4 linked regions of the Drosophila melanogaster genome follow. The gene in region 1 interacts genetically with each later gene. Each region holds a gene or a part of one and is shown on either strand. Other genes may lie near its edges.

What was found.
Region 2: of zip (region 1) and CycB, changing one suppresses a phenotype caused by changing the other (phenotypic suppression), as found in Drosophila melanogaster (one study listed by BioGRID).
Region 3: of zip (region 1) and Csk, changing one suppresses a phenotype caused by changing the other (phenotypic suppression), as found in Drosophila melanogaster (one study listed by BioGRID).
Region 4: of zip (region 1) and Rok, changing one suppresses a phenotype caused by changing the other (phenotypic suppression), as found in Drosophila melanogaster (3 studies listed by BioGRID).

Annotation. Positions count from the first base shown.
Region 1 is NT_033778.4:25,007,819-25,013,062, forward strand, and holds the start of zip (zipper), read right to left. Parts: upstream 3,646-5,244; 5' UTR 3,524-3,645; coding exon 3,494-3,523; intron 3,391-3,493; exon of another isoform or gene 3,282-3,390; intron 2,799-3,281; coding exon 2,562-2,798; intron 1-2,561. UniProt on the Drosophila melanogaster protein: Nonmuscle myosin appears to be responsible for cellularization. Required for morphogenesis and cytokinesis. Necessary for auditory transduction: plays a role in Johnston's organ organization by acting in scolopidial apical attachment.
Region 2 is NT_033778.4:22,802,894-22,809,349, forward strand, and holds CycB (cyclin B), read right to left. Parts: upstream 4,056-6,456; 5' UTR 3,789-4,055; coding exon 3,753-3,788; intron 3,607-3,752; exon of another isoform or gene 3,399-3,606; coding exon of another isoform or gene 3,381-3,398; exon of another isoform or gene 3,193-3,380; coding exon 3,047-3,192; intron 2,983-3,046; coding exon 2,774-2,982; intron 2,672-2,773; coding exon 1,767-2,671; intron 1,698-1,766; coding exon 1,401-1,697; 3' UTR 628-1,400; downstream 1-627. Other genes in the region: stl (stall), read left to right, coding at 5,886-6,062. UniProt on the Drosophila melanogaster protein: Essential for the control of the cell cycle at the G2/M (mitosis) transition.
Region 3 is NT_033777.3:11,643,612-11,648,817, forward strand, and holds the start of Csk (C-terminal Src kinase), read right to left. Parts: upstream 3,366-5,206; 5' UTR 3,235-3,365; coding exon of another isoform or gene 3,177-3,234; 5' UTR 3,105-3,176; intron 1-3,104.
Region 4 is NC_004354.4:16,634,095-16,639,246, reverse strand, and holds the start of Rok (Rho kinase), read left to right. Parts: upstream 1-1,832; 5' UTR 1,833-2,819; intron 2,820-2,885; 5' UTR 2,886-2,963; coding exon 2,964-3,025; intron 3,026-3,579; exon of another isoform or gene 3,580-3,672; coding exon of another isoform or gene 3,673-3,707; intron 3,708-5,152. Other genes in the region: RpS19a (ribosomal protein S19a), read right to left, coding at 442-841, 944-1,014.

The sequences.
Region 1 (5,244 bases):
TTATTCCTTCGCTTAATCGATCAACGTATATGCATTGTTGAGGATGGAAGTGGAGATGGAGAGGGTAAGAAGCGTATATTACACATACGTGATACGAGGCGCAGGTTCGTTGACCGTAAACCGGACGGACGAGAGTCGAAAGCTGGCTACGTTTGTCATTGCCGTAACCGAAAAGAAAACACACACTCGCGCGGCACGGGCATCTCCGCCAGAACCAATCGCGGCACGCCAAAGGGCGGGGGCGCGGAAGCGGAGTGGGAGTGGTCGCAAACAAAGTCCAAAGTGGTTTCTTTGGTTATAAATACGAGCAGCACACATACAAGCGTGGAAGTATGAAACGCAGCATGTGTGGGTGAGCAGAGACCCCCTAATGATCGCCGTTCGTTACAATCGAATCGATTCTCTGGACATGACGAAGGTTAAGCCGACTTCAATTTGGCTAACAATATAAAAAGTTTTCAGATTGGTCTCGGGAGTGAGGCGTTCAGGAATGCCTGAACAAAGACAGCGGATAAGAAGAGCATTAGCGCTGAAGAAGAGGGAAAAAAGAAAAGAGGTGTAAACACATTTCCACCGTGTTCACGAATTCCAAAGTATTAACTTTTCAATTTCATCGTTGGACAATGGAAAAGTAAGCTATGAACTATTAAAAGCATTTAAATAGTTTCAAGATCGCAAATATACATTAACCTATAACCCGAAACCTTCAATGTACAATATATCTAATCCCCACCAATAAACTTGCTCTCTGTGCAATTGATTCGATGAATCATCGCTGTTCAGCAAACAACATGAAACGAAATGTAGCCACGAACAAAAGGTCTCCTTGTGTATCCACCAGTAAATTACTGAATTTGGATATCACGTACGTGGACTGACGCCGCCATTATTCAGCGAATTCGCTTACATTTCGAAAAGCTGGAACAGTTGCTGGAAACGAAACGAGTGTTGACACAATTGGCGAATACCCTTTTGGACGGGTCCGTTCCCGTTAAGACGTAGCTGTATCTGTGGACATTCCAGCGGAGCAACAGTTGCGCTATATGCAAATTTCTTAACTATTTCCACCCGTCTCATGTGCCGTTCGTCAGTCGCAAAGAAATTTTAGCCTTTAGACAATCTGACGGACCACTCATGACAATCGAGCGTTTCGTTATTTTCGTTTTATTTCTGGGTTTTATCTCTGCCGTTGTCTTTTTGTGAGATTCCATTGTAAAGTAAATGTCTGTTAAAGTGATCGCGTAATTACACAAAAATGTGAAGTTGTTGGCTTTTGTTTTCGATGTTGCTTTTATTATACGAAGTCACCCAAAAGTGCTACCATTCTATGTACGGAATTATCTCTGGCAAATACAGCAATTACGGGCAGCCAGGGGAGAAAGGAGCGGTTGATAATTTTATCTGTTTACGTTTTTTATGGTCTTGAAATTAAGTCGTTGGAATGCAGTTGAATGACACCTGAATGAAATCGCTTTAAACTGAAGAAGAGAATAACAAGCCACACCGAAATTAGCAAAACAATCGGCTTGTTATCATAAGGCTTGATCGCTAGCAGTCGACCAAAGTTTTGAATTTGAATTTATAGGCCAAGAGCGGGCGCCCGAACTCCGAGGGAAGCGATTCTTTGGCGCAATCTCGGCTCGTTTCTTTGCTGGCCTGGCTGTGTGGTTGAGGCCAGAAAGCCCCACACAAGCAAGTCCACACCACAAATACCTAGCCACATTGAAAACTTGTTTTGGCCCGCTCTTAGTGGGAACTGCGAACTGGGGCCATTCCTGCTTCCACTCTCCCTCGGAGGTGAGTCACTGAGTCGAAGAGCGTCTGCATGCAAATTGGTACCAAATGGTCGCGGATTTGACCAAGTAAGAAGTTAAATGTGTCACACTACTACGGTGAGATTAATTCAGCATCAGCGCAGGAGAAAAGAGTGATTCAGCATCGACGCCAACGGATGTTTACCCAAGTTTATCACCGCGGTGCGAATGTAATGAAAATTCAAAGAAGTTGGGCCTGTTCAAAATTAAAAATAAACGGATCGGTGAAGCGTGATTCATGACCAATCGATGAGTGAGTCGGATGGCTCAAAAGGTGTTGGCTGATAAGAAGCGCAAAGCCGGGGACAAACACTGTGAAAATTGATTAGAGCACGTACAGCTAGGGCTAAAATATTATCACGATGTGTCGAACACACTATGTTCTATAATAACCATTCACTGCGAAGTAATACTTAGATATTAGATAGTTACATGTAGCAATTTTTTACGCAAAAGAATATGAAAATTAAACGAAAATTAAGTACATTTGGTAATTTTACAAAAAAAAAAAAAAAAACCATAATGGGCTAATGACTACCGACTTCACGAAATAAACAGCGTTATGATGTATCGACTGTATTTTTATCTCAGTTGTAGCAGTTCCTGTTGCATTTAGGCTATCTATAGGGTCTATTCAGGTAGTTCACTGAAACGGGCGTGGCTTCCGGGGTAGAAATCCCGTAGCAGAGGTTGCGTCCAGAGTAGGAACATGCTCTACGGGTAGGCATTACATTTAAGTAGACTCACCTGGTTCTCGTGTGGCACCCACACCAGACGCTTCTGTGTCCACTCGGCCTGCGTGGCCGGATCGTTGAACTGGTTGCGCTCCACCGAGAGGTACTTGAGCTCCGGATCGTTGCGATCTACTTCCTCCGACATTTTGGCGGCGATCTCTAAATAATTCCTTGTCTGTCGGTAATTAGCTGCTTTCGGATAATGGATATTGGATACTGGATATTCGCTTTTCGGATGCAATGCACTTTTCTGTCGGACAAAACAAATCGATGAGAACAATGAGTATGTTGCCTCGCTCCTCAGATACAATATTTCGCATTTATCTCGCGTTTGCGTTCTTTATCTCGGAAGTGCGGCACAAAACGGAGGCGGCGAGAACAGCGCGCGGCGAGAGTTTCAAAAGGGAGAGCGCGAAGGCGAAAGAAAGACGGAGAGGAAAAAATATGGCCACACATTTTCATTTTCTTAAGCCAAAGTCACCGCTGAACGTAGAAGAAGGGGTGGTGAAGTAATTTAGCGGAAAAATAGCGTTACGTAGCAATTAACCAGTTTGCATCTCCTAAAACTGCAGCTAAACACTATCAGAGCACCTTTTCACCTCCGATTTCGGATGTTTCAGTTTTCGGAGCAGGTACAAGCGGCTCTTTTTCTTCCTCTTCGTCTTCTCTCGCTTTGCTTCCCACTTGGTTCGTTCTGCAACACCGACACACAGCACGGCTCACACACACACACACATAGATCGCACTGGGAGCCAAGGTTTCGCATATTCGCATATTTCGCACACAAGTTTCGGTTTTTATGCTCCCATTTCCCCGCGTCAGCACAGCGTTTGTGCAAATGCAGCCAAATTCGACCGTGCAGTTTCAGCTGGCGGCGTCCCGACGCCGGCGAATAGGTCGCTGCATTCGCTGGATGCCTGTGCACATTTCCGATTTTTTTTTTACCGATTTTAATGCAAGCCAGGCGCTTTTCATTTGTTTGGCGACAGCTGCACCCACACACACTCACAAAGACTTCGACCGCAGTTCCTGAGCACGTCTTTTCGCTTTCCCCCTTTTTTTTTCACTGTTTTTCGCCGCTTGCCGTTTTGCCGACCGAGTACTTTTCGAGTTCGATGGTAATCGATGCCTTCCGATTCCATTCGGACATATCGATGCATCGATATGTCGTAGTTCACACGACGGCCGCGGCAGCGCTTTCTGAAAACACATACATCGATATGTCAACACTGATTAAAATTCTACATATGGATCGCATCTAGATTTTGTTTAAAGCACACACCTGTAACATTTTTTCAGGTCGGCCATTGTATTCCTCTATAACAGAATATCTAAGTTTTTAGCAAAGTATCGCATCAGCTTCCTCTGGTTCATGACTGCACTTAAGATCGAAATATTCGCGGCTTCAAGCCAAGCGGTGTCGATTGGAATCGAATACTTCCGGAATAGAAATGAGATTAAATTATTTTGCCGATTTCACTCACTTGCATATTCAGATGTAGCAAAGGATGTTTCCAACTCACTTTTCAATTTATAATATTGGTCAAATTAGTGCAAGCTAAGTATCGTATATGTCGATTTTACTTTTGACATATACGTAGTTCATTTAGTTGGACCGCACGACAACATCAAAATACCTTACCGCCTTTTTGTTTTTGGTGTTTTGCGGGGTCTCGCGTGCTGTCCTCTCTTCGAATCAGTTCTTGGTAAAACCAAACTTCAATAAACCGTTGGGTTAATGCGCGGATGTGCGGATACTTTCAGTTAATTTTGAATTTTTCGAGGAACGGTGAAGGTCCGCGCTTGAATCAGTAAGTCCAGTTCCGAGTATCACAGCCAGATGTGAGTGCTTGGCGCCAGTCGCAATTAAATTGACTTTAATAAAATATCTGGCGGGCTCCTTGCGAACTTTTAATTCTGGGGAAACGGACTTGAGTGATTCCAACTAAGAGCAAGAACACAGTTCCTTAAATGAAGTGCTACTTCTGGCAGCGTTCTTGAGATGCGCGCAGCATCCTTGGCAATGACGTCATTCGCCTGCTGACCAGTTTCTCTGTGTTCGTGTGTATGTGTGGCGAGAGTGCGTATGCGTGTGTATGTGCCGAAATTAGAGCGCAATAGCGAATTCAATTTGCATTTGCGGAAGAAATAACTGCAAACGAACAGAATCGATTGTTGTTGTCGCGAGTGCTTTGTTAAGGATAAGAAGAAGTCGCGACTAGTTCCGCAAAACTCTCACGTTTTGTCTATGGTTTCTCGTTTCCAGAATCCTAAGTGAGGGACTCCGAATAGGATTCATTGGATGACAAACTAACGTGCAGCCAGGAATTATCGATTCAGGTAAGCCATCGTTTCTCCTTGAAGCAACTGGGTCAGACAGCGATAATAATTGCACGTGTAGTTCCTGGTTTTCCACAAAATTGTCGTGGTAAGCTGAGCCACCCCATCTTCCCGAAACCTTCCAGCTTTATGCTGATAATGAATTTTTAATGTGCGCTGAGACTGCTAGTAGAAAAGAAAAAACAAACCCACATAAATTAAACTTGCAAAATCTTCAAAGGACAGAGAACTGCGTCGGTGCTTCCATTCCGCTTTTTTGGGAGGCTGTAAATTATGAAAGACCAGACAAGCGGTAGACAACAAGGTTTGCCCGTTCCCAAGGGATCCCGGGGCAACATAATCAAAGGCCTTTATTA
Region 2 (6,456 bases), 2.2 Mb from region 1:
GCGCTCTATAAGGCGAACAAATGTTGAAACTCAAACTTTTTACCTAATGCATTAATTGCTACTAACGAAAACTATTTGAAATATTCGTTCGATAATTCGCTTATATGTTTCTTAAGAACTTAACTATAAGGTTGCCTTTATTTGGCTTTGTATCGAGTAACTACTGTACATGAGAAAAGTGAGATAGACACCCACACACACACACGCACAACCATGTGCGAGCAATGTGCTCGGCAATTACCGTTGCCCATGGAACACGGTACCAAAAAAAGGGAGAGAAAAGCGTTAAAAAGGGAAGAAGGAAAGGGAGAAGCGGAAGAGAAGTAACTGACCTGCGATCGGGAAGGTGACCTTCCCCAGGGGCGCCGACTATACATATGTTTGTATGTATGTACATAGGTGCAGGGTATACAGAGGTATATCACTGTACATATATTGTGTATTCAGGATTGATAAGAATGCAGGACAAAAGGACCTCCGTCCTTGGAAAAGGGTCTGCGTTCATCTCAGGCTGTCTGGTTTTTTTAGGGGTGTGGAAAATTTCTCACACTTATCAGCTGTCGGAAAGATTTCAAAACTAATGAAGTCACATGGCGGCACATTGCATGCAAGGTAAACACGAATATTGTTTATAAAATTATACAAAACTTTATTTTCTATGTATTGTTCAGAGACATTTTTGGGAAACATCAGTTAGTTAAAACGTGTTTTAATCGTTGCTTAGTGGTAAACAATATAACTAGCATAAGTTGTTTTTGTATGAATGTGCGAAATACATGATATAAATTACAAATAGTCTACGTCTCTTTTTTATGCGATTTATGGGAATAATTTTGCACAATTTTTTGGATTTATTCATTCCCATCGAAACTAAAAACTAACGACAAATACAATTAGTGATAGGTAGGTAGGGGATGAAATGATTTCACGGGTACAATTATAAAATATAATTCTTGGAGAGACAACGCCGATGTGTTCGGCCAGCAAATGAACTCGTTGCCCACTCTCTCTCTCGGTGTCCACCGCTCCGCCGCTCGCTCCCACTGAGATGGTGACCCAGCGAAAGGAGCTGACGGGCTCCAGTTTAGTTCGGTTCCTAGTCTTACCGGAGGAACTCACTCCCAGCGGCCGGCTCGCGAGCAACTTGTGCTCCGTGGGCAAAGATGCCGGAGCCAGCTCTTGGCAGTAGCCGAAAACTGCTCAAGGGACTCCAGCAGATTACGATATCTTAGGGATGGGTGATGCAGGTAAAGATAGTTGGCAATGCGACTACGGTAACTATACGCATTTTTTAACGAACACGAAACGAACAGAAAATGAAATACGCTACAAATTTAAAAATGAAAACAAATTAAACTAAACTAGGTAAGTCAGGGTCTTCCAGTCCGCCTTGGACCGCACTATTTCCTCTGGCTCTGGCCCACAATCGAGTCCATCAGCGCACCGGTCAGCTCCGTTCGCAGCGCGATCTTCTGGAACTTGCTGCCCTGGTACTTGTTGTAGATGGCCTTCAGCTTGGCCTGAGGAGCGTCCCGGGCCAGTTTCGCGATCAGCCGGGTAATCGGACGCAAGTGCGCGGCCGAGTATCGCGAGTAGAAGGTCAGAGTGGGCGTCCAGTGACGGTCGTTGAATCCTGTACCGGCCCGGTGGTTTCCATTGAGCAAGTGCAGCGACAGGAACAGTGAGGCAGCTGCAATCTAAAGGCGCCGCAAAAAATATTACATATACCTATGCTAAATAAAAGGGGATAGTGTATTGAAACCCACCTCCGATGGCCTGTAAGTGGCCATTTCGTAGTCCACGGAAGCTAACTCGATGAAGTACTTGGACATCGTATGGTGCTCGTCCTCGGCGCCAGCAGCCTTCGAGTAGCGTCGAAGGAAGTGAATCGGCAGCGGACGCGACAGATTACAGTCGATGGCCTTGAAGATTTGCAGCTCCATCTGTCGGATCTGCCGGGCAGTGTAGGTGTCGTCCGTGATGAAGACGAAATCTCCGATTGCCGGCGGGAACAGCTCCTCGTACTTGGTGGCTATGAAGAGTGCTGTCACTCCCACCAATTGCAAGTACGTGCGTTTGGTGTCCTTGACCACCTGCAGGTAGCGATCAATGATAGCCACCGCCAGCTGGAAGGTCTCTGCAGCCAGATGGAACTGCAGGTGGACTTCGTTGATCCAATCGATCAGCACGGCTCGCATCTTGTGGGACACCTCCTTCTGTCCGGCCAGGTGATCCTTGTGAATGGGCTGCTCCAGCTCCACCTGATACAAGTAGTCGTAGATGTCGTTTACATATTCGGAGACCAGTACCAGGTTCTCCTTGTCATTGGCATCAATGTCCTCGATTCCAGCCAAGCGCTTGCTGGAAAGGGACATGGTGGTGGGCATCGTAGATGTGGTCGTAGTGACTGCACTGTTGCCCCTAATAAGGGGCATCCTGGTCGCATCCTTTTTCACTTCCAGTGAGTCCTTCTTGGTTTCTGGCAGTTCCTTCTTGGTCTCTGCCTCTTTGCGGGAAACAGCTACTGGTTCCCGTCGAATTCCTGAAACTCCCATCACGGGTTTGGCCAAAGCGGCACGCAGTTTGGTCAGCGACTTCTTCGACAGATTGCTGTCCTCGCGCTTTAAGGTGGGCTCGTTCACGTTCTCGGAAGAACTGGACTTGACTGTAACTTTGGGGATTCAAGATGAATTGGGGTCAGTATGATGCAAGCCATTCAAAAATTGGAAATGGTAGATGATGATGATTGGTAGATGATTGCTCTTTTGCTTACCTTTAGTGGGTTCTACAGTGGTCTTGGTCGGAACGCGATTGCGCACCGAATTCGAACGCAAAAACGCCGACACGCCCCCCTCGTTGACCTTGGGCGGAACGGCGCCATTGCCATTGCCATTGGTGCTGCCCAGTGGCTGTTTCTTCCAGTGGCTGTCCACCCGAGCTTTGGCATTGCGCAGGGCGTCTGTGAGCTTGAGATCCTTGGAGCTGCTCGGTGGAGTAACCACATGTGATTGCGAATGGAATACTTGATACTGGTTCAAACACTTACTCTTTCTGTGCCGCATCCTTCGCTGCGATGGGACGACTTATGCCGCGATTCTGCAAATCGCCCAAGGCCGCGCGTTTTGTTGTTGCCTCCATGGAAGGAACCGTCAATTTCTTCAATTGCACTTGCTTGAAGTTCTCCGAAGCGTTCTATCGAATATTGTTTAATTAGTTTTAGAAAACAAATGGAGAAGTGCAACAAGTATAGTTGAATGCATATCTGCACTTTGAACCCTATTCTTTAACATCTTTAATTATTGAGCACTGATTTTAATTATTTTAAATTGTTAAAGCAAGATCAGTTTGTTGCATAATAATGACTTGATCATGAAATGCACCTTTTCAAGGGCGGCCATTTTGGGAAAAGCACCGCAAGACTGATCCTCGATTTATCTCCTCTGTGATTTGGTGCGAAAAATAGGTGTGGAGAGTACTAATTAACGGTGCAAGCACCGCCGGTAGAAAATTGCGCCAAAATGTGAGCAAGGCAACTGCAACAACGACAACAATGAGCGCCCGGGACAAACGGCACTCTTTCTTTTCCCCCTCCCTTCACACACTCATCGCACTATCGCAGCGTCCTCTTTGCCCCTCTCTACATGACCACGCTGCAATGGCGTCTCGCTGATGACGAGCCCACTAGTTTGTGACTTTACCATGACCTTTTCGCGGATGCCACGGTAATCTTAATGTTCTAGGGATCAACTCACCTCATCGCCACGCATTTTCAGTGTTGTGCCCACCATTTTGATTGCTTCTTTTCTATCTGTACAAACACAATTAACACGAAGATAGGCAGACGCTTGGCTATCACTTGGTTTGGTTGACTTTTGATCGCGTTTCTGTGACCGAACGCTTGTTTAGCTGTTGAATTTGTTGTCCGAATATATGATTACTAATAGTTTATAATTTACAAGTCGAGTGCGGGATTGTCAATTCTCCGAAAACCTGATCGAGTTTTTGCACACGAAGCGAGGCCAAGCTGCCGTTTGAATTTGAAAATGGGAATGGGGATGGAAGTAAACTCGATGATAAATGCCGATGAGTTTGACGATATCGATTTCTGGACTTAGTTCCCTTTTAAGCCGCAGTGGCGCTCGAGAATAATCGATTTATTAGAGCAGAGCATGCAAAATAGAGATGCGATACGTGCGATAATTTTCGATAGTTTTAGTGTGACCAGTACTGGTGCACAGCTTATCGATGACAGGGCTGAAACAGTGCTACCCATAAATTTCAAATTTAAATTTAAAATTAGCCGAAAAAGAAAACGTTACAGTTTGAAATTTCTGTTAGATATTCAAGCTCAATCCATTTTATACATATTTTAAAAATGAAAACTTCATGGATTAAATTTGATAGTTGGTTAAGGTTCCCCATTTTAATAAAGCCATCGCTTTGACTGCCAGTCGTCACTCGGTTGCACCATCCATTGATTGCATCAATTAAAAGTTGATCACTTCAATTGGCTGTGTTCGGTTTGTTTTTGTGCCCCCCTGATTTGCATTCGCTGATTTAAGATTTCCTGCTGCCACAGGCCGCAGAACATCGAAACTCCGCGGCGGAAATGCAGCATAATTCTTGCCACTCCGCAGCCTTTTTTGCTGATGATCAGTGTCAAGTTTTCGTCTGCTCCATCATTTTCAAGCACTTGACCACAAAACAATCGCCATCGCCTCAGAATTTTGCCTCTGTTTTTGTTTAGTACCCCAAACTCTCCTGTTTTTTTTTTGTGGCCCTTTGCTGCGTCTTAACGGTTGGCGCATTCTTCTTCTCTTCTTCCGGCGCTCTGGCTCATTAGCATATATTTATGAGTCTGTTTGCGCTCCAAAAGTACTTTTGCGAACTCCGGCCAAAAAGCCGAACGAGAATGGAGCGCCAGCCGACGATCGCGAGCTCGAGTTTTCCGTGATTTTCACATTTCATTCGCAAAAGTGCCGCCGTCGCGAGTGGTTGCCTCGCTCTCGCCGCCTCTTTCTGCGCTTCTGTCGCCGTCTCTTTCGTCGCCACGAAAAAAGTCCTTCGATCGATCCAACGCGCATTGACCTCCAGTAAATCGTTTCAAATTTTAAATGCCCCAAAGCGGTCAGATTTCGGCGTGATTTAGCGATTTTTAGTTAAAAAATATACATATAAAGTGCTTTTCGGCTATGGACATAAAACCAGAAGATCGTTATGCTCCAGAGCCGATGATCTATATGCCGTGTGTGTTTGTTGCTGGCTGCTTAATTGTGCGCTGGCGTTTAAATAAAATCAAGTGCGTTTAAATGACAAAAGACTGGCATTATATGTACAATATATTGGCAATTCAGAACTGGAGCTGGAGCTAAAATAGCATTTTTCAAGCACCATTTGGTCTTATCTCGAGTGTCGATCCATAAGGAAGAACTTAGGCAACAAACTAAAGTACACCAGCCACTAAAATAAAACGAAACATAAATAAGATAGAGTGCAAAAAAAAAAAAAAAGTGGCCCACAACAAATGACTCGTAATGCAATGCCTGGGCAATTAATTAGTGCATAAACATTTGAATTAACAGCCGTAAAAGTTGGAGCCCCGTACACGATCGCGCCTTCATTTGGCTCTCTCTCCCCTTTTGAGAAATCGGGCTCCAAGTTTTCCACCCTCGATTTTCGCCGCTGGAAAATGTAACTCCGCTACCACTGAAAATTATGACGCAAAAAAACCGAAATCGGTGCGCAGCCTGAGGAATAATATATTTGCAATTTATGCAACAATCGTCGCGTGGTTGTTGCCACAACAAAGAGCGATTAGTGCACTAGGAGCATTACAATAGCCACCTGTGGAGTCCCAGAGAAGCCGTCATCATCAACGCATCGTTATGACTGTCGCAGCAATTGGATCTAATCGGCACCGTCGTTTGGCTTTAATTGTTTTGACCACCTTGTGGCTGCTAATCGGGGCCAGCAGCTCCTCATCCTCCACCTCCTCCACCAATCCAAAATCCGTCAACATTGAGCTGCGTCGCAAGAGGAGCTTGCACTACAATGGCATTGAGGTGAGTCCCGATATCAATCAATGCTGCCTCATTGTCGTCCAATGAATGGCACTTTGGCTTTGTGGCTGCACGACGAACTGCAAAAGTAGAACATCTTTCATTGCAACTTAAGGCTTATCAACAAGGAATGTCTTTAGTTATTATATTCTTAAGGTCAGGCTTGAATCATGTGACAATTGTATTTATGGTAAAAGTTTACGTTTGCGGTGAGTCAGGATATTAATCAAACTATTGCTGTGGCCTCAGAGTAGAATGATAAGCGATATATCTTTACACGATCACACTGAAAACTTTAAAGTGTTAATGGAAAAATATCAAAAAACTAGTAAATTTCTATCTAACGGTTAAAACAGCTAAAGCATGTCATTTTATTTATTTATTAAGAAAAAAAAAC
Region 3 (5,206 bases), on another chromosome or scaffold:
GCTAAAAAAAACAAAGAGGAATGGAATAAAAGCCCGGCCTGGATGGAAAAGGTTGAAAACTAGATGATGAAAAAAAAACCGAGCTACGTACAGAAATTGACTTCATTGCGAGGAATAACTAAATAATAATAACAACTCTTTGCCATCTATATGTTTGTTTTTTTTTGTACTGGCTTTTGGCTAGCTTTTTCCTCAGCAAGTCAATTCGCCACATTAACGGTTTGTCAGCGGCTCACTGAAATAGTCGACAATGGCTTGGAGTGCTCCACAAACAGCGAAAAATGCTGGTTGGGCCAAATGCTGGTTCGGCATTCCATGTTGGCTTATTTCTCTGGGTTGGGAAAACACGAACCAGCCGCCTGAATTGAATTGGAATTCACTGGAGAGCTCTGGCTACATATTGTGCAAATAATTTGGGCGTGGGAACCTCGCAGTCGACGTCGACTGCGCAGTGAGCTAAGCAAAACTATTGTCTATCCCCTAAAGACAGGTGACAAATGTTGGGAAAGTTGGCGGGGAAAAGAGATATTTCTGCACTGATATTGCCATTTAGTTTGTAAGCAGCAGGATTCAATTATTTGCCCATCTTATGGATATACAAAGGGGCAGAAGGGAAGAGGATATCAGTTGGCTTTAAGTTTAATCTTTATCATAGAATTCCCAAATATTTGCCAACATTCACTGCATCTTCACTTTCTTGAACTTTCCTAGGTAAATGTCAACTTACAATTAACTATTCAAATGAGCCAGAATTGGGCACGTGGAAAGTGATTGCTTATCATGACCCACAAAGGAACGGTGGCGGCCAAATGAAATTCTCCGCACGATGGAGTGTTTCTATTTTTCGGAGTGGGAAAAGCGTTCGGTCGCCCAAAGAAGCGCACCGCACAAGAAAGACAACGCAACTAATTAAATAAAACAATAACAGAATTATGTATGACACAACGAGTTTGTGTCGCCGCTGACGAAATGCAAAATGAAAAGCCAACGCCACAAAGTCGAATCAAAATAAAGGCCAAAAAAGTCTAAACCGTTGACTGAGACTGAGACAAAGTGGGCAATAAGCGAGGAGAAAAGCCAAAATAAAACAGAAGAGCTAAAGACAATGGGTCGGGTTTTTGAACCTGGTCGAGATGCGTAAGTTTGCTGGTCCGGATATCCTCGAAATGAGCGTTGGGGATTTTGGAGCTGCGTTTCGAATAGGTTTTATTAAAACCTTGCGGCAATACCTGTTGCATACATAATTTTGGCAAGCGGAGAGTGAAAGTTTCTCGAATGAATACCCTCCTCTTTTCACCAAAACGGCAGCTCTGACTTGGAGCAAAAAAAACAAATGATCGGCAATTTAACTTGAGACAAAGAGCATTTAGCATTCGCTATTGTTTCTGACCATTCCGGCCAGTGGCTTAATTAATAAATTAATTTGTACAATTACTTTAACGTGCCTGGCACGCATTACAAGAAAACGAAAGAGTCCAAAGCCGAGAAATGAAATGCGCCATTGGCTTTCGAGTGTTAAGTGTGGTCTTTGGGGGGCTTTGGAGGGTTTGGGGGCACATCTTCGGCCAGTTTGGGGGTTAAGCTCGTCTTCACTTGTGTGCAGTGAATGGCAAATTGAATAAGTGGATGGAAAACACATAACCGAAGTGTACGGGGAGCCAAGAAAAATATGAGAAATTGTTTCACGCGTCTGCTGCAGTTGTATTTGAAGTCTTTTTTTCTCTATTTCTACATATATATTTCTTTTTTTGTCCACTTTCACTTGGTCCAGCCAGCTTGGAGATACAAATTTCAGTGCGAGATTCATGCAGGACGACGGATTAGTTTCTCAGCTCAGAGAGCGTTGGAAAAAACTAGTTACAGTTTAAGGCTCCGGTTTTGCTTTTTTCTTCGTTTTTTTTTTTTTTCTTTAGTTTTTTGTTGGCCGATTAGACCGGCGATGACTAATGCGCTGGAAAATTGAAAATGCCCCGACACGCCAGCCTACAATGTTTTCGAATTTGCAGTCTTTATTTTTTTCCAGTTTTTATTTTGTCAAAGTCGAGTGTCTGCACGTCGCCAAATCCAAAATTAGCGTGCAAATCGATTGTGCAGAGGGTCTTTTAGGCCGAGTGATTCATGCAATTTCGAGATCAGCTGCGCTCGATCCGCCGCAGTTGCATCTGCGATCTGCGATTTGGGATCGGATTAAAAAGTGCAGTTAGAGAGCGAGCAGAATGGCAGAATAAGCGAAGAAATTGCAGTAATGGGAACTTGTCGACTGGGGGAATTCAATCCACGGAGACCTGAGAAAACAATTAGCACTCTGTGATTGAAGTTGGCCCGAAGCAAACAAAAAAAAAAAAAAAAAAAAAAAAAAAAGTGGTAATCGGTGAGGGGAGGGAAGTGTACAGTACAGTAACATGCTGCCAAGGCACTTTCATTCGAGACTTTCAAACAATCAAATATGCAGCCGCGACGCGATCGTCTTCATTAGTTGCACACGAAAAAATTACATGGTTTGGCGAAGAGCTTGAATTTGAATGATTTTAGAAAGGTGATCAGATCAATTAAAGGCCACCTTGTGCAAAAATCATTGGGCAACCAAAACAGCCCTTTATTAATTTAAAATTAATTAATTCGGCATTCGATATGGGGTCTTGTGAAAATCCTAATCAGATTTAAACTAATTGTAGCAGTCTAACTACATAATTAATTGAAAGCTAAGCCTGACTTTGACCAGTAAGCCCTAAAATCAACTTCAGTTTTGACCGTGCATGCCTTGAGCAATTTTGAATTAATCATGGACACACTCGAAACACAGATTCATACTAATGTCCGATACATGTGGCCAAAACCCATAATTAAGCGAACATCCCCAACATGGCAAATAAAATCAAACAACAAACACACAAAGGTCATTGCGCCACCAAATCTCGAGTATATACGTATGTTCAAGCCATGCTGATCTTTCAGCGCTTTTTGTTTCACTTTCTTCGCACTTTGATAATGTTTTGCATTAATCACTTCCTTGAGGCGAAGCCGAAAAATAGCTCCCGCCTGTATAATTAATTATTAAATTATTACAATAGCGATATGAACAATTCGCATTCGCGCGGTATTACATCACGATAGTTCGCCTTTTGTGCCTTTTCGCTGAACGGATCGGATTATCAAAAAAAGGCCACTTTGCATACCGTCATAATTTATTGTTATTATGTATTGCAAAAAGCCAATTGCAATCGATTCACTCATTGGCCAATTCGCACACACGCGATGATGAGCTGCGCATGCGTGGCAAGCGATTTTATTTTTATTTTTTCTTTTACTATTCTCTCTATTTACTATTCGATTTTTGAATCGAAACGCGACCGCGCGCCTTGCCTGCAAGTTTTCAACTGAAAAGCGATGCACGAAGTTGCCGCCGCGACTGAGTCACGATAAATAAAACCAAAAACACAAAATGAAACGAAAGAAAAAAAAACACAAAATCAACCTCCGAGTTTCAGTTTCAGAGAAAGAGAGCGCCGCTTGCGAAGCTCAGTCTCAGATTTTCTTCGTGTTTTTGTGAGCCGGCTTCTTCTCTTTATCGTGCATTTATTGCATGCGATAAGACCAGTCGCTCGCATGCGATCGCCCACCTGTTGCACATTTGGCCACCGACTGACGGTTCTCCTTTTCGCAGCGTCGCGCTATGGAAGTCAAATCGAAACATGTGTTGCCCAACTCATTAGGCCGATTTTGGCCATTCAAGTAGCTGCTGCGGTCTCGCTTTTGGCCTAGCTAAAAGTAACCCACTCTGCGGTCGCCTATATTTACACGGGAAAACTTAATTAAAAGAAATTTAGTTTATTTAATCGCATTATTAGCGATCCCAAGTAAAAACTAAAGAAAAATTGTAAGACTTACATATATAATTTATTATATTATATATATCAAATTGTACTTTCTACATAAGCCTAACATATTTATACCTTAAATTCATTAAAATCATTACGCACAGTGCACTTTGTGATATCGGAGATTCAAGAGGCAAAACGATCACAGCTTTGTAAAAACACACATCCAGCAACATTGGAGGCTTGTGACTCGGATCGATTTCCTTTCTGTTTCGTTTATTTGGTCTAATTGCCGCCGCTGGCCATGTTAATTAATTCCCCCATTATTGGTCGCACAAACCCCGTGCCCCCCGCCACACTCCTTTTCCCAACGACTTGTATGGCAAATAGTTTTTCTCTTGCATGTTTACTTTTCGTCTCCGTTTCCAGGCAATTTGTTGCCGCTCTCGAATCAGTTGTTTGCAAAAATGTAGACATCAAAATGTTTATTGTTTCTTTCGCATCCAGCGCTTGCAGTTCCAATTGCAGTTGCAGTTGCACAGTTCGTGATTTTCTCCGATTTTTCTCTTTTACATTTCTTGCATATTTGCGGAGCAATTAGCATCAAGTCGGAACCGTGCTCATGCACCAGCTCTCCCAGCGAATTTGCCTGGCGAACCCGAATGGCAAGTAGATCAAAAGGCGAGGGATTTGTGCTAAAAATACCCGCAAAAGCAACATAAACAAACAAACAGATGGCAAGGAAAAAATAACCTTTAATATGCGAAGAAAATGTGTCCGCTGGGCAACAAAACGAGGAAAGTAATAATTTCAAGAATGCGAAACATATGAATGTATCTACATATATCAACGGTTCCAGATAAACATAAAGTACACATTTCTGCACCGCGTTCCCAGATAAACGTAAATGCATATTCCAGCTGTTTGATGATAAGATTAAATGGTCGATAGCCTTTTTTTAATACGATAAAGTCAACGTAAACAAATTGTTGAACGGTGCATGGATTTAGGCTTTCTTCAGGGAAATGTATTTTTTCGTACGGTTTAAATTGGATCAGATGTTTTGGCAGTTGTTCAATAAGTCAAAATTATATGTATATTAGACAGCCACAATGGAATGCATATAGAAAGGCATTCACGTAATTATTTTAGACATCGCTAAATATGACTAATATATAATTTGAACTGAATATATATCTCTATCTCTATCACCTGCCCAGCCCTAGAAGTAATGGCGTATGACCAATCGGAATAAATAAAATTGCAAATTCCAATTAGCATTCCAATCAGTCCCGAGTACAGTGGTCATGCAACGGCGTAATTAGCGCAAGTGAAAATGGGCAGAGATAGATAGTCGTAATAGGCGCAATAAAGGGAATATTGAACAG
Region 4 (5,152 bases), on another chromosome or scaffold:
TCTGCAAGGCAAGCAACCACTTAGCACATGGATTGTTAATGAAACTATGCACCTTCTAAGGGCAGAATACCAAACTGATACTGATAGTTTAGCAATAGAAGGAAAGCCATTAACAATGTGAAGGCTCGGTAAAAGTATAAATTGGCTAGTTAATTACGCCAAATGTAGCTGTTGTCCACATTGTTCTTCGCACATGCATATTACTAATATGAGCAGCATCCTGATAAATCTACCACTTTTTTACATTGCCAAGAGGAGCTATTCTATTCCCCTGTTTACAGACCGCATAAAAAATGTTTCTAGCATTCGAAGAACGCATGTTTCGTAGACTTTTACAAATTGTGGTTGGTTTTATTTTCTCATCTCTCTCGTGCAAACAAAAAGCGCTTACAATAGAAGTCTAAAAATGCGTTTTTTAGAATTCGAAGGGGCGCCGTGTGATTACTTGGAAATAACAATGGGCCCGGTCTGCTTGGCGGCATCGCGCTGCTTGAACACGATCTGGTTAGCAATACGGTCCAGATCACGCTGTCCAATGGAGCTCAGTTTGCGACCACCGTCCGGGTGCTTCTCGACCAAACGGGCGTGCTCCAAGGCCTGCAGAGCCTTGCGGGCAGCACCGTCGGCGGCGCGGCAGAAGTGCGAGGGGTGGACACCGTTGCGCTTGCGTCCGCCGTAGATCTTGGTGATCGAACCGACTCCAGCGGGACTGCGGTGGTACAGATGGCGCAGGATCGAGGCGCAACGCACATAGAACCAGTCGGGATCGTAGGGCGCCAGCTCCTTGAATTTGGCGGTCTTGACGATGTCCATCTGGTCGGGCACCTTCAACTTGCCAGTCCTATTTGGTTTTTTTCGTGTTTTTTTTTTTTTTTTTGGGGGGGGATAAACAAATGGATTGTGAGGTTATGTGGTGGAAATATACTTGATGTTCAGTACTCACTTCTTCAAGAAGACGGCGACCGCCTTGGTAACCGCGTGCTGGTCAATATCCTTCACTGTGACGCCTGGCATCTGCGGGCAGAACGGGAAAAACAAATGGGGAATCTATTACAATGCTGCCAAAAACACGTTGTCGCGATTTCCACGATTCTCTCACAGACACACTCTTTCTCTCTCTCTCTCTCCCTCGCACACACACATGCACGGGCACAACAAAAAATTGCCAGCCGAAGTTTTAACCCGAAAAAAGCTGTCCTTTCGTGTTTACGGCCGGCCCATTGTGTCATTTGCCACTTGGCGTGGGCTCTTTCATTGAATTTCACCCATTCAAAACATAAAAAAAAAGATAATTCACTTGAAAAGAATTCGTGCACAACCTTTCTCGTTAAAGTCAACCGGAAAAAAGAACAAGGCGCGTGAAGTTGGCTGCGGTTAATAGTGCTGGGCCTGCCACCAGCAATAGTATCGATTAATCGAATGCCGGCGCGGCGAACTATCGAAGATTCGGTTAATGATACTCTAACACGTATGTGTTCAATTTATAGTTATTTTTAAAAATATTTAAATTAATGAGCACACCAAGATTATATTATATATTACTTGGCATTTGAAGACCTTGTCTAAACATGCATTTTCGTATTAGTATATTTTCAATGTGGGCAAAGAATGCGTAGTACAATTCATATTTTGCTGTATCACTTTATTCATAAATAACTGCTTTTTATTTTGTTAGCAACCGATTTACATAACTATTCATGAAGCTAGTTTCTGAGTCTATCGAATAACAAGCGGCCCATCGATGACGCAGACAACCGATATTGCCGCAGCACCATCGCCATTTGGAGCGCCACCTGTTGGCCCTGGTATATTCTGGTATTTTCATCGGCGCCTAGTGACTTCGATACTTCAACTTCGATATGTAAACACAATTGCCATCTCTACCAGCACCGAGCCGAAATAAAATAAGTGCAACGCGCAGCGTCTAATTGAAACCAAATTGATCTATTTGGCCGCGGCCGAAACTGGACATTCGCAATTTGGGCGGTCAGCCGCCCCCGTCCCGTCCCGCCCCCCCGTGCGTTTCCCCCGCTGCCGACGGACAGTACGTCGGTGTGACGCACATCGGTGTGTGCGCGCGTGTGTGTGTGTCTGTGAAGCGCCTTGTTATTGTTGTTGTAGCGCTTGCTACGTTCGCCGTTCGCAGTGCACTGGTGTGCGTGCGCTCGTGTAAGTGTGTGTGCACAGAGGTATCGTTGGAATTAACAAAAAAATAGAAGAAGGAAAAAGCTACTTGATTGGGGCACACAAAAACCAACAACTCAAAAGGCCGAGAAACAAAAGCCCACCTTCAACACCACCAATCCGCCGCATTCGACACATTTTGGCCAGGTTTTTGGCCACAAGTGTTGACACAACTGTTGCATGCCAAGCGGACTGCGGACAATAATCCCCGTTCCCTTGTTTACCCAACAATCCATCGTGGTCAACGTGATCATCCTGGTCATTACGATCCCATTTGCACAGGAAGTAAACTAGATTGATAGCATTTTCCGGGAATCGATAGCACACCTGCCTGCCGTGTGGGAAACGCACCTGGGAACGCCCGGGTGCTCGGCTGCGTCCGCATGTGGCGTTGGCGGCACTCCACCAAAAGAAGCCAGCGCCAAGTGCCCAATCCCCATACCCATACCCATTCCCATTCCCATCCCCATCCGTATTCGATTGGCGTTCAGTGGCAGCAGTTAGCCAGAAATCCAACGAAACACTCGTGACCTCATCGCCAGCAAACAGCAAACAACTAGCGCTTGACGCGTGCCTCCTCTCCTCATTACTATTAGCATTCCCAGCATAGACAGACGTCCAACAACTCCTGGCAGGTAAATGTACAATATAAATATGTGTACCCCGAAGAGAACTCTGTTAAACCCTTGCTTCGCTTTCAGTTGCAGCACAGGAGCAGCAGTTGACCAACAGGAAGCAGCAGCTGGAGCAGCAGTATCAGCTTGTTATCTTGCATTTGCATGCCAGCTGGACGAGAAACTGTGACCAAGCAGCGCAGCATGGATGTGGAACGAAGGCGCCGGTGAGTGCACGAGATGGCGGCCCAAAAGCGACTGCTCCACTCAATTAATTGTCACCTGAATGGCAGCATCAGCAGCAGCAGCAGCAGCAATAGCAATAGTAGAAGTCGAAGTAGAAGTAGAAGTGGCAGTAGCCATCGCACAGATACGTGCGATTTGTACAGACAGATTTGTGATTTGTTCAACTGACCAAGCCAAGCAGGCAGCTAAGCAGCTAACCAGCTAACCACCTAACCAGCCAACTAGCCAGCTAGCACAATTCAGCGCAAGCCAAACGGGCCTGGCCAAAACAAATCAAAAAGTAATACACCGCTGGCAAACACCTTCCATATCTCATGTTCAAAGCGACAGCGCGGCAATCAAATTGACAAGCGAGTGAACAAAACGGGGGGCGACTTTATAATAAATTTGCCATTTTCGCATTAAAATTTGTAACCAAACCAAAAAGAAAAAAAACCAAAACGAAAACGAAAAGCGAACTAAAACGAACGCACAGTGGCTGATGCCGCCGTTTGTCAGTTGCAGGCGTCGCGTTGCATCGGCTGCATCGTTTGCATCGTTTTGGGCCAAAAAGGTAGAATAGATAGCCAGCACCACGCCGGTTTCTTCCATTGGACAGTAGACGGTATAGGGCATGGGGACATGGCTAATGCCCGCCGCCCTCCATTCGTGCGAGCCGGAACGGTACGTTGTTCTCATCTCCACGCTCCTAGCATTCAGCATTCAGCATCCAGCTCTCAGCTACCAGTTGTCGTCCTGGTTCGCTTGCATTCCAAATTCCGAGAATACAATTTGCCCAGCAATTCCGCAGCGTCGAGTATGCATATAAATACTTAAATTTAATTACCCATCCCCACTCGGTATCTGCTGTAAGCAGTCATAAGCGAAGCAAACGTTAAGGCATTTGCGTACTAACAATGGCCAATTGCAATGCGCATTTGGTTATAAAAGCCGAACAGTTCCTTTGTGCTGCCTGGGCAAATAATTAATTAGAATTAATAAGGTGTGAAGAGATTCTGCAACGCAGATGCAGTACCACTCTCTATCTCTGTGTGTTGAATGTGAAGCGTTCAATTTGTAAAAACTGGCAGATCGAATTTGGCGACGTTGTATAAATTAAGTTGAAAATTATATTGTCTATAGGTGACGATAATGTTGTCGTCGTCGTCGTCATCGTCGTCGTTGGTTATTATGTATTATTATTGCCGTTGTTGTTGTCAATAATGTTGCTCATAATTATGTTGTTGTTGCCATTTTGCCGCTTTGGCCAAATCGAAATCAACAGCGGCAACGAAAATTCATCGCAGCATTTTTGAAAATTCCACTTTCCCAAGTTGTTTGCTTTTGTGTATGGTGTGTGTGTGTGCTGCTATTACCCGCTGCTTGAGCGTTTTGTTTTTGGCTTTTCTGTCATGCCGTAAGTGGCGATGATGAAATCACAACAATTCAAACACCTTTTAGTATCAATTTTTAGCGCCGACTGTCATCGCAGTTTGCCTGCTCCTGCATCTGAGTCTGACTTTTGCTTGCTGGGCACCGAAATTCGATTCCCAATCGCTGACAGACTGACTCCGCATCTCCGACATCTTGCATCTTGCTAATTGCACATAAATCTTGGTTACGGGAATTAGTTTTTGACCGGAAAATGCCTTTAAATTTAGAAATTCAGAACCAACGCACTGGCAGGCCAAATTTAATTGTTTCATTCTTTGCCGAATATGTAGTTTAATTTGCCGAGAAATTCCATTTGAAAGAGCGCTTTTCCCATGCTCTAGTAACCTCGTATGCAAATACCTAATTGTTATAATTAATTTTCTATATATTTACATTCGCAAGATTTTATTTTCCATGATTTATGTACATACATACACTCTCCGAAGAATGAACCTTACCTTTTTGTTTACATTCAAAAGTAAATAAGCAATTTGTATATTCTTAATATCATTTATAAAGAATGAAACGCTTGGTGAATCAGAGCAGTGTTTTTGTTTTTTGAGATTTTAAAATCCGCACTTACTGATAAAATAATATAGCGTACTATGCTTTTTACTATACTATAGTTACGTAAATATTTGATTCATGAAAATGCATAAATTAACCGGCTCCCCTGATAAATATGTTTGTATAAA